Caenorhabditis elegans: one gene and its partners. The protein of the gene in region 2 purifies or fractionates together with the protein of the main gene of each other region. This does not show direct contact. Each region holds a gene or a part of one and is shown on either strand. Other genes may lie near its edges.

Region 1 (7,386 bases), on a different chromosome or scaffold from region 2:
TGAAAGCTTGGTTTTTTTCGATTTTCAAGGAACCAAAATTATTTTTTTGCTTGCAGAATGAATAATTAGTAATTAACTTTTTTTCAAAAATACTCCTCGTGCAACTGCGCTCTACCGCACCACCATCCTTTTTCGTTGATTCTACAATATTCGAGCAATTTCTGAATATTGAGCATAATCTTTTTCAGGTGACATTGAAATGAACGTTGCCACATCGAATCCAAATCAAGTGCATCCACATTCAATTGCCGTATTTCCACCAGAAGAACAACAGACAACATCTCGACATTAAACAATATTTCCCCCTCCAACTGAGACCCCCCATTATATAATTCCGCAAGCTCTGTGATATTTGTCTCATTGATCCGGTTATTTATGTCTTTTCCAATCAGCCGGAAAATCATAACGAGTATTTATTTTTGTGTATAATAGTTTTGGTTTTTTGTTTCAAAATTCAATGTTTTTTCAACTCAAAAACCATAGATCCTTGGAAAAAAAACTTGATAATAAAACTGTTCACATGAGTTTTTGCTACAAAAGTGCAAAAAGCAACAAAAAATCGTAATAAATATTGCTATTTTGAAAAACCAAGAAAAAAGTAACATTAAAATCCTAACGGGGGTCGGCTGGATGATTGAACAGGAAATTTGAGGGGAAGGAAAAATGATAATAATAATAATTAGAAATACACTTTGGTATTTATCACTTTATCGATTTTTGGAAGAATTTTGGAAGACGGGCGACAAATAAAATGTATGGTGAGGCAGGGCCAAAAATGGTTGAAATATTTAGAGGATTTTCAAGAGACGGGGAGAATAATCACAACTAGAAAGAAAAAACACAAAATCAATTGATAAACCCATATCCGTTCAACTCGAGCACATTGAAGAAAGAACGGAATTTTCAAAAAAAAAAGAGAAAATAAGAACAATAATAATAATAATTACGGAGAAAGAAAAAACACCAAAGCAAAAAAAGACATGGGACACTGTTGGGAAACGGGAACAAAAAAGAGGGAATGGATATGTCACACGGATGAACTGACTGATGATGGGAACGGCATGGAGGATGAAAATTGATCAACTAATTACCACTAATCTCTCGTTTCAAATGCTGCAGGAATTCTACATATGAATGTGTTGATTCTGACCGATCATCGACAAGTCGCCGTACAAACACGTCACGGAGAGGCGAGTGTTCTCTGCAAAAATTAATTTTTTGAGCAAATCTGATTTTTCCATCAAAGCTTTGAGTGAAACTTTTCAAGAGATATTTCAGATTTTTCAAAGCAAAACTCTACAAAGATTTATGTTTCAAAATACGATACCCGGTCTCGAAGCGTCCTCAAATTCAAATCAAAGCATGCGCCTTTAGGGAGTACTGTAGCTGATAACAATACGTTTTTCACCCGTTTCTTAAATCTTAAGTTATTTTACACATTTGCACAAACTATACGATAAATTCTTTAGAAATGTGTAAAAACGTATACCACGCTCAAAACATAGAGTTTGGAGTAGCCTTTAAAAAATACAGTAGTAATTTTAAAAAGCGTATATCCTTTTTCATTTAAACAAATACTTGGTTGTGTTGAGATCGAAAATCGCAAATTTTTTCAAACGGCTCTGAGTTTTTATTTGGCAAAAAAATTTAGAAAATCAATAAAAACTTTTTTTTCAATAAATGTTAAATTAAAGACTTACTTAATCGTTATTATTGGTCCCAGATAGAATCGGAATTGTGTGACTTGCTTGAAGAACGCGTGCACTCTTCTCGACAATTCATTATCTCTTTCCAGAAGGGAATACTGTAATTTAAAATGTTTTTAAAACTATTCAATTGAAATCTCACCTCATCAATATCATTATACGTAGAAGTTCCGAAAACATTAACCAGGAAACCTGGATCTGCGGATGAAGCCACGTAGACAAAGGCAATAGTACCAGTTATCATCAGATAGACACCTCCACGACTGATATGCTCGAATGATAGTGGTAATGCTGGTGGCGACTGATCTTCTGGCATTGAGGCGAGTTCGTTGAGCCGATAGAGACGTGGATAAATGTCAGACAGAATTTGGTCCAATGGACTGAATCGCATCATCAACATTGCGCCGGCTCGTTCATCTAGGCGGATGCCACGAGACGAGGAGAATGCTGGCTGAAAATTAATTATTTAAATTTATTTAGTTTTTACAAATCAAGGCTTACATGTTTGAGCATAGCCAGCACATAACTTGGGAAGAGCCGAAGATGACCGACACGTGGAACAAGCATTCCACTTCCTCTCGATACAGCCTTCTGATATGCTCCAACACTGTCGACAACTGCATTTACAAGTGCTTCTCTTGAATCAGCAAGTGAACTTCCAGTCATAGATCGTTCTACTCCAATTTTAGCCAGATAGGATACCGTAGCTTTCAGATCAAAATTATTGTAAAGTTGAAGTAGATCACCAGTTGTTGGAAGGCACATTGTATGTACTCGAATACGACGATCACCTTTACTCGATGTATAGAGTAGTGCTGACTGGAAGCATACATATTGCGGAAGCTTCTCTTCGAGTGTCACTTGAGCCGCAAGTGCAGAATCTGGATTCACGTTGGCAAGTGCCAAAAGATCTGGAGATCGGACGAAGAAGTTTCCGTAGAAACCGGTTAGAGCGAGGCCACGAGACGTTCGAATACGAAGAACTGCTTCAAATCCGAGTTTTCGTGTCAAATATCGAGTGAGAGTCCGTTCGAATCGTTTTACTTGATGGATATCATTTCGATAGTTGTAGTTCGGGAAATGGTAGACACATCCTGTCGAGAACTTTGCAATTTCAGCTGAAAATGGAATTATTTTCAATCATTTTGAATTTAACTTTCAAATTTGACAGACAATTTGAAAGCTGCCCCGGATTTGTGGTGTTTCAGACATTTTCTACATTTTTTTAACGAAAAACTGGAATTTTTTCGGATTCAGCATCTACAAATTAACACCTTAAAATCGAGAAAAAAAATTTTGGAAAATCGATCTAACTACGATTTATTAACTGTTTGATTTTTTTTTTTAATTTTCCAGGTATCAAGATAAAAACTGTATTTGCAGAGGTTTTTTGATACACCGAATCTGAAAAATGTCAGTTTTTCGTTTTTAAAAAATTTGACAGCATCCCCTCACCAATAAAAGGAATTCTCCAAAAAAACCTACAAAGAGTTGCCAAATCAGCATATTGCGTGTTGAACATAAACAGATCAAGGCAAATCTGCGATCCGGTGCACTCTAACGATAGAGCTTTGTAGAAATCGGTTGCTGGCCCCAAATTCTGACCACCTTCCGTCGATTCTTCTCTGCTTTTCAGTGCTCCTAATCCAAGATTTGGTAGGCTGACTTGGAAGATTGATATCCTTCCTCCAACTTCTTGTATCATGCTCTGCGCGAGCTTCAATGCAGATCCGAGGCAATTTCCATTTGAAGTTGGGCCGATTTGAGAGTAGAATTCGGGAAGTTGCTTGATAAAAGTTCGAATTGTATCTTTGAATTTCTTCATAGGAACAAGCAGTGATGTGACTGATGGAAGAAAAGCGTCATCGATATCGTCTACAATCATTTCATTCGGATACCGCTTATTACTAGAAAATGAGAAGAAATGCAAGCATTGATCGACAGCAATGAAGCACACTTGAGAACGATCATCTCCTGGCATTTGATCTATATTGATGAGAAGTTGCTCGGCAAATGTGTGTAAATAGCCTGATTGAATTGCTGCAGCACTAATATCAATCACGAATACATAGACAGCAGGTTGAGGTGGACGTAACTGAAATCGCTTGTTTAAATTTAGAAAAACATCGTTTAAAATATGAAAATACCATGTATTCCGATGGAGCAATAAATTCAACCGTCGCATTTTGAATTTCCGGTCTGTTTCGAGGATCTCCGAATGCTTTTGTCACTGGGTCCCAGCAGAAATCATCAGGCACTGAAAACAAAAAATGGTTTTCGCATTTTCTCAATTTCACATTTTTCAGTCAACATACGGTCGTTATTTCTATTACAGAGATTGCATTTCCAGTGTCGATGATCAGGAAGATATACATATGGATTAATATATGTCCGACAATACCGACAACGTACAATATTCGATGTTTGTATAATATTGAGATTCTTAACATCTCGGAACGGATGAAGTGTTATTGCAAATGGTAATCGACTCTTTTTCAGTAGTTCTTCTGTTTGTGGAACTTGGGCGAGTGTTGAGCGGAAAATACTGAAGAGAAAATTATTAATATTTCTAATATCTGCAATAGTAACGATTCTGGATTTTTGCTTGTATAGACTCAAAATTTGGTCAGATGAACCAATTTCTTGATGCGAGATAATCGATCAAAATATGCAATAAAGGATTTAAACTAAATAAAAGTCAAATTCCGACAGCTGCGATTCGAGATTTTAGCTGATATCAGCCAGTAGCGAAGGCATTTTTGAGAAGTCTCACTACGAAATTCGTCCATTCGGCCACATTTTGAGTTTATTTATACAAACAGAATTCCTTCTTCAAGAGAAAATCCTCACTTTGGATCAACATGAGCATTCGGATTCGCGACTTGTTGAGGAATCTGAATCTCGATATCTTCAAAACCAAGTTGTTGAACATTTCTTTCAGCAATCAGATCAATTATATCATTGCGATACCCGCCCATTTGTTGCTGAGGACCAGGAGCTCCGCTCATGTTCTGAAAATCAACTTTATACGGGGAAATAACAAATATGAATAAACCATTTGTCCAAATTGCTGATTCATATTTTGCATTTGAGGTTGTGGGACTTGTGGTTGACCATACTGTGAATTTTGCTGTGGCTGGGGAGGATATCCTTGTTGCTGTGAAGCCGGAGGATAAGCAGCTGGTGCTTGAGGCCGTGGAGCCATTTGTTGCTGATAAGAAGGCGTTGGAGTTGGTGCCGGTGGAGGTTGAGCAGCAGGAAATGGAGCAGGTCGGGCTGAAGCAAGTGCAGATGGGATCGGAGGCTGAATACTTGGAGCTGCTGAACCAACTGATGGTGGTGGAGTTGGAAACGCTGGCGGTCGGGACTGAAATAAAACATTCAATTCTTCTGTATATGCAGTATTAACCATACCACAGCTGGTGGTGGTGGAGCATGATGGCCGTTCATAGAAGGCTGAGTAGCGGGTGAAAAGGACGGTGGTTGATGAGAAAATCCTGCAGAATGAGCTGGAAAAGCTGAAGCTGCAGTTGGATAATTTGGCGCAGCATGGTTATATTGATAACTTGGTGCTCCATTTGGGATTTGAGATACGGGTTTCACCTGAAAATAGAAAATTAAGGAAGGAAATGGAAATATGAAAGTAAAGATGAGAATCAATACATACCGGCTCTTGCGAAGTCGTTGCAGTCGGAAAAGGAAACGGATTGGCTGCATAATTGGGAGGAGCATTATTTAACGGAGCCGCAGATGGTTGAGAAAACTGACTGAATTGTTGGACGTGTTGATATTGTTGATTCTGGTTTTGACCGTACGCCTGCGGAAATCCAACGTTTCCCGGCGCTGTCGGTATATTCGACATCCGTCGATAGCTCGTGTAACCCGCTGAAATTGTATAATGAAATTATATTGCGAGAAAAGAACAAAATAAAACAAGTTCACAACGGTAGATAAATATTTAGCTGACGAGACGAATGAACGTGGCGAAAGAAATTTAATCAATAACTTCAGAGAGTACGGTAGATTTAGATGGGTGCAAACAGAATGACGAACAAATGCACAACTAGAGAAAATCAGTGATCACATTTTTTTCTAATTTTTTTTGCGCGAAAAACCAGCATACTGCTGAACAAATATAATTTATTTTTGGCGCAAATATCGTTTAAATGTTCACTTCAGTTTTTAAAGTCATTATTTTCATTTTCAGCAAAGTTTATAGCGTTTAATAATTAATTGCTCTTGAAATTTGCCTAACTTCGCAACGCTTCGAAATTTCGCGACTCTCTTCTCACCGGCGATCTTTAGAATAGATTTTACAACGTAAACAAAAATATTTATGACAATATTTTCTGATTTTGCTCGAGTATCTCATTGAACACGAAGAATTACGCCATGGAAGGCGACCTCAAGCGCGCGATGCACACAGACACTAGCGTCTCGCGCTCTTTCTCTTTGCCTCGCTGGAAATTCTTTTTCATTTTGCCTTCTTCTCTCGCCACACATTGGCGTCGTCGGTTTCTGCTTCATTGTGAAACGTGGATTTTGCGCTGAAATCAATAAAATCACTGTTTTCTCGCTTTCTCTTTTACTCTTCACTCTCACTCTCAATTTCCACGTAATCCTTGAAATAATTCAGAGGAGCGGAACAAAAAAGAACATTTACTGTACGAAAAATAGGAGAAGAGGTGGAAGAATATCGCCGAGAGGGAGGCCCTCGTATGAACAAAGCGAGAGAAGATCAGCAAGATGTTAAATAATTTTCATAGCGTTCAACACAGGTTTTATTAGTAAGTGAGAAGAAAGTTCCAACTCAGCAATTGGATCAAAAATCGATAATGGAGGGTGTTTTGAGTGTTTTAGTGTAATATAAATGAAAAATTGTCAATTTGATAAAGGTTTCCGAATGTGAAAGCTTCCCCCGAAACTGGTGTTCCTGGATTCTGTAAAAAGTGCGGTTGGCAGAAAACATTGAATGCATACCGTAGTTAGATACGCAGGCATCGCCGCGTTCGCCCGGCCAAGCCTCTATTGGAGCGACCGCCACCACCGCAGAGTGAGAGCGGACACCGTTCTCCAATTGTGTTTCTTAAAATAACAATATTTTGTTACTATTTCAGCCAAACAATCACTTCTGGCGGATGACCGGTATTTTAAATGGTCAGAGTGTTAAAAAGGTACTTTTTGAACCGAAAAAGTGTCATTTAAATGTATCTTGTGTCAATTCTCGAGAGAAATTCCACACAATTTAGTTAGAAAAACTCAAACTTACCTTTTAATAATTTTAAAATCACATTTTGAAAATTTAATTAAATAAAATTACTATTTAGATCAACATAAAAACGGTTTTAATTTTTTAAACTGAAATTCAAAATTTTAAAATTAAAATAAAATAAATTCATAAATTAAAACTATCTGTTGACTTTAATAATTTCAAAAAAAAAAAATTAAAAATGTGGTTATGCCAGTGGCCAGCGTGTATCTCTGATGAAATCATCATCGGTCGCTTCAATATCGATTTTTCGCGGCGGGCCCGCCATCTGCCGTGTACATTGTCGACCACGGACACAGACAGAGCATCATTCATTATTTTTTAACTTTTTCTAACCTACCTGTTAGTACTTTTGTCGGTCGGTGTAAGTTTTCAAGATTTTATCAACACCGAAATTAGATACGGATGATT
Region 2 (3,835 bases):
TTTTTGGAAAAAATGTGTATTAAAAAAAAATATTTGAATAGATAAACATTACAAGTATGCAATAAATAAATACGATTATAATTTAAAATTTGAAGTGACTTAGGGAACATTGTTTTCTAGAAGTTATAATTTAACGTCTGTACACGACTTTTTCTCTTCTTCTGTCCAATTTCTTCTGTTTCTTGTCATCCATTTCATCTGAGTCTGATCCAGCGGTCAACCATGGTAGAAGGAATCCAGCAACAAATTTGTATGTGGCTGCTCCAGGAAAGGCGAGGAGCAAAAGGAATCCGTATGTAGAATAGAGTGAGATGATCTGGGAACAGAGTAAATTATACATTTGAAGATAGAATATTTCATTTTTGAACTATTAATGCGCACTTTCCCACACTTTTTTTTTGCAAAAACTAACTTGAATAATGACTGTCAGAATAATGGCGTCTTTACAGTATTCTCCGAATGCTTCTGGATCGTTCAAATCGGCACCAGCATCCAAAACATGTCCTTTATCGTCAAGCTTTGCTTCTAAAATCATAATTTCAGATTAATACAAAAAATTAATGGGTAAGACAAACTTACTAGCTAAAGATTTCATGAAAAGAATAGCAAAGATCTGCACGAGCGCTGAGACAGCAAAAAATACATAATCGGTGGAAGAGCACTGGCTCAGAAACATACACGATGAATAGTAGATTGCCTAAAACAATTTTTAAAAAATCGTTGAAATGTGAAATTACAAATGTTTACCATGCTAATCGTGCTAGCCACACTATAAGTGGTGACAGTCTTCTGATTCTCCTCATAGATCTCTTTCTGCCCTTTTGTTGCTTGTTTCACCATCTGTATTTAATTTTTATATTTTTGAGGTCATTGCTGAAAAAGTCAAAGGTATTGTAAAGGTTGAAAAACCACTAATAATAACGAATTAAACAAAATTTTCTCGATATCTCGGAAAGAAAATGATAAAAACTTCATTCTTTAGTTTGAACCGATTTGCAAACTAGAAGTTTGAAATTGTGCGAAATAGTAAAACGACACGAAACTGTGTGGGGAAAGAAACCGATTTAGAAACATGGAAAAAGCCGGGTTGAAATAGATATTTAAGCAATTTGGTGAAAATTCAGTTCTTGAAAAATTGTTCAATACGGGGACACATTTTGATAGGAAAGTGGACGAATTGATATCTAATTGTTGTGCAAGTCAAGTCGGAAGATCTCGTTTCCGATGAAGTAGGAACCCTGATTGTTTGGACGGAGAATAAAGACTTGCGAGAAGGGATTGATTGGATCTTCGTCGGTCTGAATAATTTTTTTTCGGTTTTTTTGAAAACTACTTCTACTTACCTTGAGCTGACCAAGAACCATCACTTGAATTGATCCATCATACAGAGGCTGAGAGTCAATCACAGTGATCGCTCGTTGAATTTTTGTGAATCCGAGAGTCTAAAAGTGTTTCGTTATTGAACTCTCGTACTTTTGCACAAACCGTGAACTTTTGGAGAATTCCGTCACGGCCTTTCGCTTGCTGTCCTTCAAAAGTCATGTAAGAGTTTTCTGGGTCGTACAAATCGGAGAGTCCTGAAATTCACTAAGTTTATTGTTTTTTTCAGACGAAATACCTTGAGCACGACTCATTCCATCGCCAACATCGAACTTTGAGTAGTAATGTTGAATGAAGGCCTTTGCAACACTTTCGTAATCAGGATTGAAGCTCATTCCTTTAAAAACGACAAATTGGGAAAAATAATTGAAAAAGAGTAAAAATAAATAAGATAGGTAGGAAAAAGCAACGAAGAATACGATAATTTTCGAAACAATTGAATTATATATTTACTCGAGATGGGTTGTCTCAATAAATTTTGAAAATTAGTTGTTAGATGAGCAGTGGTCTTGCTCGCATTGAGAAAAATAAACAGCAACCAAATTGTTTTTTTTTAGTTTTTAAAGTTTAAACCCTCGGCCTCATGTTTCAGTTTTCGAAAGAACAGTATTGTCTTCCTGCGTTTTGTTCGTTCTTGGGAAGTTTAATTAAAAATAATTATGAATTATTTGATTCCTCACAAGAGAAAACCGATTAAAAAAAATAAAAATGCCTAAATAAATTGGAAAATCAGAATAAAATGGCAAGGTGCCAGCATCGCGCGCACATTTTGTAGCATAATCCAGCGGAGCGCGATTACTGCACAGAAAGCGAGAGAGTGTGTAAACGAGAGAGAACACGTTATGAGCAGAGAAATCGCCTTGTCGTCACTCTTTTTGTTGAAGAGGCGCAGAGAAAAAAGAGTTGGTTGGCTCTGTTTTTATGTCTCTTTGAGCTCGCCAAAATGGAAAACAGAGCTGGAAAAGCAACAAAATAACGACAAAACCACTGAAATTATGTTCCTCTTTTGTTGTTGCTCCATTTTTTATTTCTTTCCATTCTACCAATTGAATAAGAAGTTAAACTTTATTCTTACTCCGTAATGTTGGCATTTCAAAAATCAATTTTCTGTAATTTATAGAAACTTGAAATAATTTTCCATCTCTGCGCATCCTCATGCCTTAGCGAACACCATATATGTATGTTCTTTCACTCTTCCCTTTTCGGCACCTGACCAGTCTTTTGAAGCCAACGTTTTCTGAAAATAAAGAACCGTTACTATTATATTTTCACATCATCCAGAACTGAAATGATATCAATTTTCGAGAGCTCATTACATCAAACTCATCCAGTCACATTTATGGTTACCTTGGTAACAGTTCATTGACAAAATTAATGCAAGCAATTCCGAACTCATTACATACTGCTTCTCACATGATTATCAAAATTCTATGAGCGATACATATACTCAGTTAGTTTTCAAATGTAGATTTTTGTAATTGAAAGGAAAATAAGTAAGCCAAACATTTTAAAACTAAATTGTATACCATTTTGCTGACTGAATTTGAGCAAGCTTTAAAACTCCCAAATTTTTTTCTAAAAATGGAAGAAAATTTATGTGAACCTCTAACTATGTGTCGATTTACCCAGCTTGTGTAATAGTTCGAGAATCAAAATTTTTTTAAAGTTTTTGGTCTTGATTTTTGACAGTATTAATTACATCTTTCTCAAAAGGAAAATCCCATCCAAGATAAAACATTTTAGCCTGTAAAAGTTGTGAAATCGCCTTAGAAGAATATGTGAGCTTTTTTCAAAAATCTCAGTCACATTTTGGAAAACTGCCAGATTTTCTAAAGATTTTATTTTTAGTAATTCCGAGCATCTTGCAGGTTCATACAACGTTCAAATACAAATTATTGGAACGTAGTTCAAATATAAAACTTGTAGAAAAAGCAACGTAATTGTCACTGAATACGAAAACGTATAGCAAATTTTGAAAATGTTAACTATGATGTTCGCCAATTTGACCATATGAGTGATTTAATTTAAACCTTTAATTAAAATTTTCATGAATGTGGCCGAGTTTTTTCACATTCGCGGCCACGCAACGCAGAAATATGTACATGGGTACAGTAACCCCTCCTGTCGAGTTAAATATACTCTTATAGGAGAGAGCTCTTAACTATTCACATGTACGAAAAATAATAATATTTGCCAATTTTCTCGCTCTCAAAATTCCATTTGAAAGAGAGAAAAAACTGTTCTCGATACACGAAGAAACATGCGATATATGTTAATCATAAAACCTTCTAACTTTTTATGTCAGTTTCTATTCTCTTCTCGATTCTCTTTACTTACGAATTCTCTTTCTTCTTCTACCCTTCATCTGTTTTGCTCGTTGTGCAATTGTCAGGAGACATTTAATCCGAGTTAATCAAGAATTTTCGAAATTTATCTGAATCCGATTTTGTTTCTC
Region 3 (3,589 bases), 7.5 Mb from region 2:
AGTAAATCTCATGGTATGCGCCAAAAATTAGCCAAACTTCGCAACACACCGAATTTTACGCGCATATTCATCAAAAACCTTTTTTTTTTAATTTTCAGGCACCGTCACAATCCAATACTCGCACATTTTCTTCGCCTTTGTCGCGTTTTTCGTTCTCTCGGTTGCCGTAGTCGCTGTGATTCGTCGGCGATCACGACAAAAATCCGGATTTCGAAATCGACGTGGCGGCGGGCACGGGGGCCCGAGCATACTGCAACAGGATTCCGACGAAGACGATATTCTAATCAGTTCTATGTATTCTTGAATTTCGTTTTTTTTTTGGCACGTGGGGTGCCAGGCTGTCCCATTACGGTTTGATCTACAAAAAATGCGGGAATTTTTTGCCCAGAAAAATGTGAGAACTCTGCGTCTCTTCTCCCGCATTTTTTGTAGATCAGCGTAGATCAAGCCGCAATGAGACACTCTGCTAACACCACGTGTTTTGGCTGTACTACTTTTCTCTCTTTTCTCACTTTTATCTCGGGTTGTGTCATTGAATTATGAAGAAAAAAATAAATCAAATACATAAAAATTAATGGCGATTCAAATTCTATAGAGCTCCGGTTTCCTTGAGCAGTGCGGCGAGTTTTCCGTTCTTGGCTCCGGCCGCTGTGTCGTCACCGCCGCCGAAGAACTTGCCGTTGATGAAGACACGTGGCACCGAGCGGGCTCCGGTTAGAGAGCCAAGATAATCCTGAATCTCATTGCAATCCTTGCGCTCGTCGATTTCGATCCATTGCAGAGCGTCGGGCTTCACGTTGACCGATTCAAGAGCAGCACGAGCCTGAAAAATTGGGGTTTTTTAATTTTTCTCAAAAAATTATTTTAAAAAATGTATCCGAGACTCAAAAATTTTGCAAAAAAAAGATTTTGAAAATGGATAATATTTTTCTCAATTTTCACGGATTTCTGGCTTCCCTCATAAATTGAAATGGAAGAGTTTTTGCCGAACTAGGCCATTTGGCTCGGCCATATCTGGGGTAGATTTACGGCGCGTTGCGTGTCGCGTCGCGGCTCGATTTCAGTTGTAAAACTAAATGTATTTGTCCGTGTGGAGTACACGACACTTTCCCACGCGTTGTCCGGCAGCCGATTGTCAATGGAGCGCGAAAAATTCAATGAGGAATGCCAGAACCCCGTGACAGATTTTTTCGCAAATTATTGATTTTTGCCGTTGTCTTCAATTTTCCGAAAATTTCTCAAAAAAAATCGCTACGAGACCCAAAATTTCTGCATTTTCAGAAAAATACAGAAATGTTTGATTTTTAAGTTAAATTGAATTTGCAAAATTTCATACTGGTGCAACTGCGCTCTGTTGCACACGATTTTTTAAAATAATTTTTTTTGGAATAAATTTTTCAAAAAAATTGGGAAATTTCGCTGAAAATCCAGAAAAAAGCAAATTTTTTAGGACAAAATTGTTCAGAAAAATTTTTTTTTTTTTTTGATGACAAAAAGCAATTTTCGAGGAAAATTCAAATTTTTCAGAAAAATTGTGTTACCTTATGGCAGTACGGGCAGTACGATTTGCTGAATACGACAACTTTGGAAGATTGGAGAAGTCCGTCGACAAAGGCTTTTGACATGGTTTTTCTGAAATTTTTTGGTGTTTTTTCTCAAATTTTTGTTGAAAAAAAAAGGCAATGAAGTATAAGAAAAGCGTAGAGACAATTTGAATTTGAAAAAAATTGGGGAAAAAAAAATTAGAAATCACATTATCATCAAATAAATAATATATATATATATATATTAAATTTACAAAAACAAAATTCTGCGATATTATATAAAAAGGGAAAACATAGGCTTTAAAAGCAGCAAAAACTGAAGAAAATGATGATAAAAATGAGAGTGGAAATAGTGTATGGAAATGAGAGAGTGGCGAGAGAAAAAGAGAAACGGCGGCGACAATGACGTAAGAATCATGACAAATAGTGTTATTAGGCGAGGAAAATTCGGGAAAAAATACAGTTGTGAAATACAGAAATTTATAAAAAAAATTTTAAAGAAATTTCGAAATTACCGCCGTGCGGTGGAGCACAAATGCATTTTTGATATTCGATTAAAAAAAAATTTTTTTTTAATTTTTGGGCTTTCTAAAGCTAAATGATTTTTTTTAACTTTAAGGAGTTTTTAAAAAATTTAAAAAAAGGCCTTGCAAATGCGCTTCATCGCAAATTTGATGGTAGAGATGAAAAATTGGAGAATTTGAAATTTTCACGTGGTGTCAGAATGCCTCATTTCGATTTGATCTACTTTGATCTACAAAAAATGCGCGGGGACTGATTTCGCATGGTTAAGAAAGCGCTGACGTCACAACATTTTTGGGCGAAAAACTCCCGCATTTTTTGTAGATCAAACCGTCGATGGGACAGCCCCTGGCACCACGTGAATTTTGGGAAAAAAAATTTTTAAAAGGTTTTTTTAAACGCTTTTTATTTTAGACAAATCACTTTTTTTTAATTTGAAAATTAGTTTTTTTGCACCAAAAAAATTTCAAAAATCGGAAAATTTTGAATTTTTGGGATCACTTTTACTTAAAAAAAAACTCGTTAATTCGGAAAATTTTACGATTTTTCTGAAAAAACTCTGCAAATGCGCTCCATCGCGAATTTGCTGGTAGAGATGAAAAATTGGAGAATTTGAATTTTTGGCGGTACTTTTTGCCGAGTTTTTGAGAGAATTCATCAACTTTTCACGAAAAATTGATATTTTTAACGCTTTTTCTGATGAAAATTGCAAAAAAAACCTTTAAAAATTGGGCTAATAACACTTTTTTCAATTAGAAAATTAAAATTTTTGGGATAATTTTTTCCTTTAAAAATCCCATTAATTTGGAAAATGTTACGCTTTTTATGAAAAAAAAATTCAAAAAAAAAATTCTGCAAATGCGCTCCACTGCAAATTTGTCAACCATGTGAAATTTTAATTTTTAGGATAATTTTAGGATAAATTTAGGCTAATTTTAAAGTCGAAAATCCAAAAAAAAAAAAAAAATCAATAAATTATTCCTTCTTCTTCATCTCATCATCTCCACTATTTCTTCCAGTGATCCCTTTCAAAGTACTCATAATTTTTTTGAAAATGCCACGTGGCTTCTCCTCCTCTTTCGCCTCGAATGGCACAATGCCGACGGAAAACGCTTCGAGCGATGGTACAGTATCCTCAATCCACGTACCCGTGACGTCACGGCGGGAGAAGATCGGGGTGCCGATGAATTCCGAAATTGATTCTCCCTGTGGAAAAATATTGTTATTTTTTGGAAATATATCAATTTTTGAAATATATCGACTTTTGAATCAGGTGGGTGGGCGGAAAACGATTTTTTCCGGCAAATCGGAAAATTGCCGGAATTGTAAATTTCCCGCAAATCGGCAAACTGGGAATTTGCCGGTATTCAACAAAATTCCGGCAATCGATTTTCTTATCCGTTTTTTTTTTTTGGAAAAATATGTTTTCTGAAAAGAAAAAATCGATAATCTGGAATTACATATATTGAAAAATATTGATTTCACCGGAAAAAAAATTTGGAAAAATTTTGGAAAGAAAAAAT

What was found.
Region 1: the proteins of ran-4 (region 2) and sec-24.2 fractionate together in Caenorhabditis elegans (co-fractionation; one large-scale study listed by BioGRID). This does not show direct contact.
Region 3: the proteins of ran-4 (region 2) and glrx-10 fractionate together in Caenorhabditis elegans (co-fractionation; one large-scale study listed by BioGRID). This does not show direct contact.

The regions. Positions count from the first base shown.
Region 1 is NC_003282.8:12,355,202-12,362,587, forward strand, and holds sec-24.2 (uncharacterized protein), read right to left. Parts: upstream 5,592-7,386; 5' UTR 5,569-5,591; coding exon 5,374-5,568; intron 5,310-5,373; coding exon 5,121-5,309; intron 5,074-5,120; coding exon 4,762-5,073; intron 4,718-4,761; coding exon 4,557-4,717; intron 4,252-4,556; coding exon 4,022-4,251; intron 3,964-4,021; coding exon 3,854-3,963; intron 3,802-3,853; coding exon 3,192-3,801; intron 2,825-3,191; coding exon 2,208-2,824; intron 2,158-2,207; coding exon 1,849-2,157; intron 1,805-1,848; coding exon 1,701-1,804; intron 1,202-1,700; coding exon 1,084-1,201; 3' UTR 501-1,083; downstream 1-500. Other genes in the region: best-22 (Bestrophin homolog), read left to right, coding at 189-292; ZC518.8 (Glutathione S-transferase), read right to left, coding at 6,563-6,646, 6,687-6,707.
Region 2 is NC_003279.8:8,589,097-8,592,931, reverse strand, and holds ran-4 (putative nuclear transport factor 2), read right to left. Parts: upstream 1,718-3,835; 5' UTR 1,716-1,717; coding exon 1,619-1,715; intron 1,578-1,618; coding exon 1,486-1,577; intron 1,443-1,485; coding exon 1,344-1,442; intron 1,299-1,343; coding exon 1,185-1,298; 3' UTR 954-1,184; downstream 1-953. Other genes in the region: tmem-208 (Transmembrane protein 208), read right to left, coding at 131-316, 413-525, 580-697, 748-840. UniProt on the Caenorhabditis elegans protein: Facilitates protein transport into the nucleus. Could be part of a multicomponent system of cytosolic factors that assemble at the pore complex during nuclear import.
Region 3 is NC_003279.8:1,047,639-1,051,227, reverse strand, and holds glrx-10 (Glutaredoxin-1), read right to left. Parts: upstream 1,633-3,589; 5' UTR 1,626-1,632; coding exon 1,542-1,625; intron 824-1,541; coding exon 590-823; 3' UTR 501-589; downstream 1-500. Other genes in the region: Y34D9A.8 (Low-density lipoprotein receptor domain class A), read left to right, coding at 99-304; Y34D9A.7 (PSP proline-rich domain-containing protein), read right to left, coding at 3,042-3,272.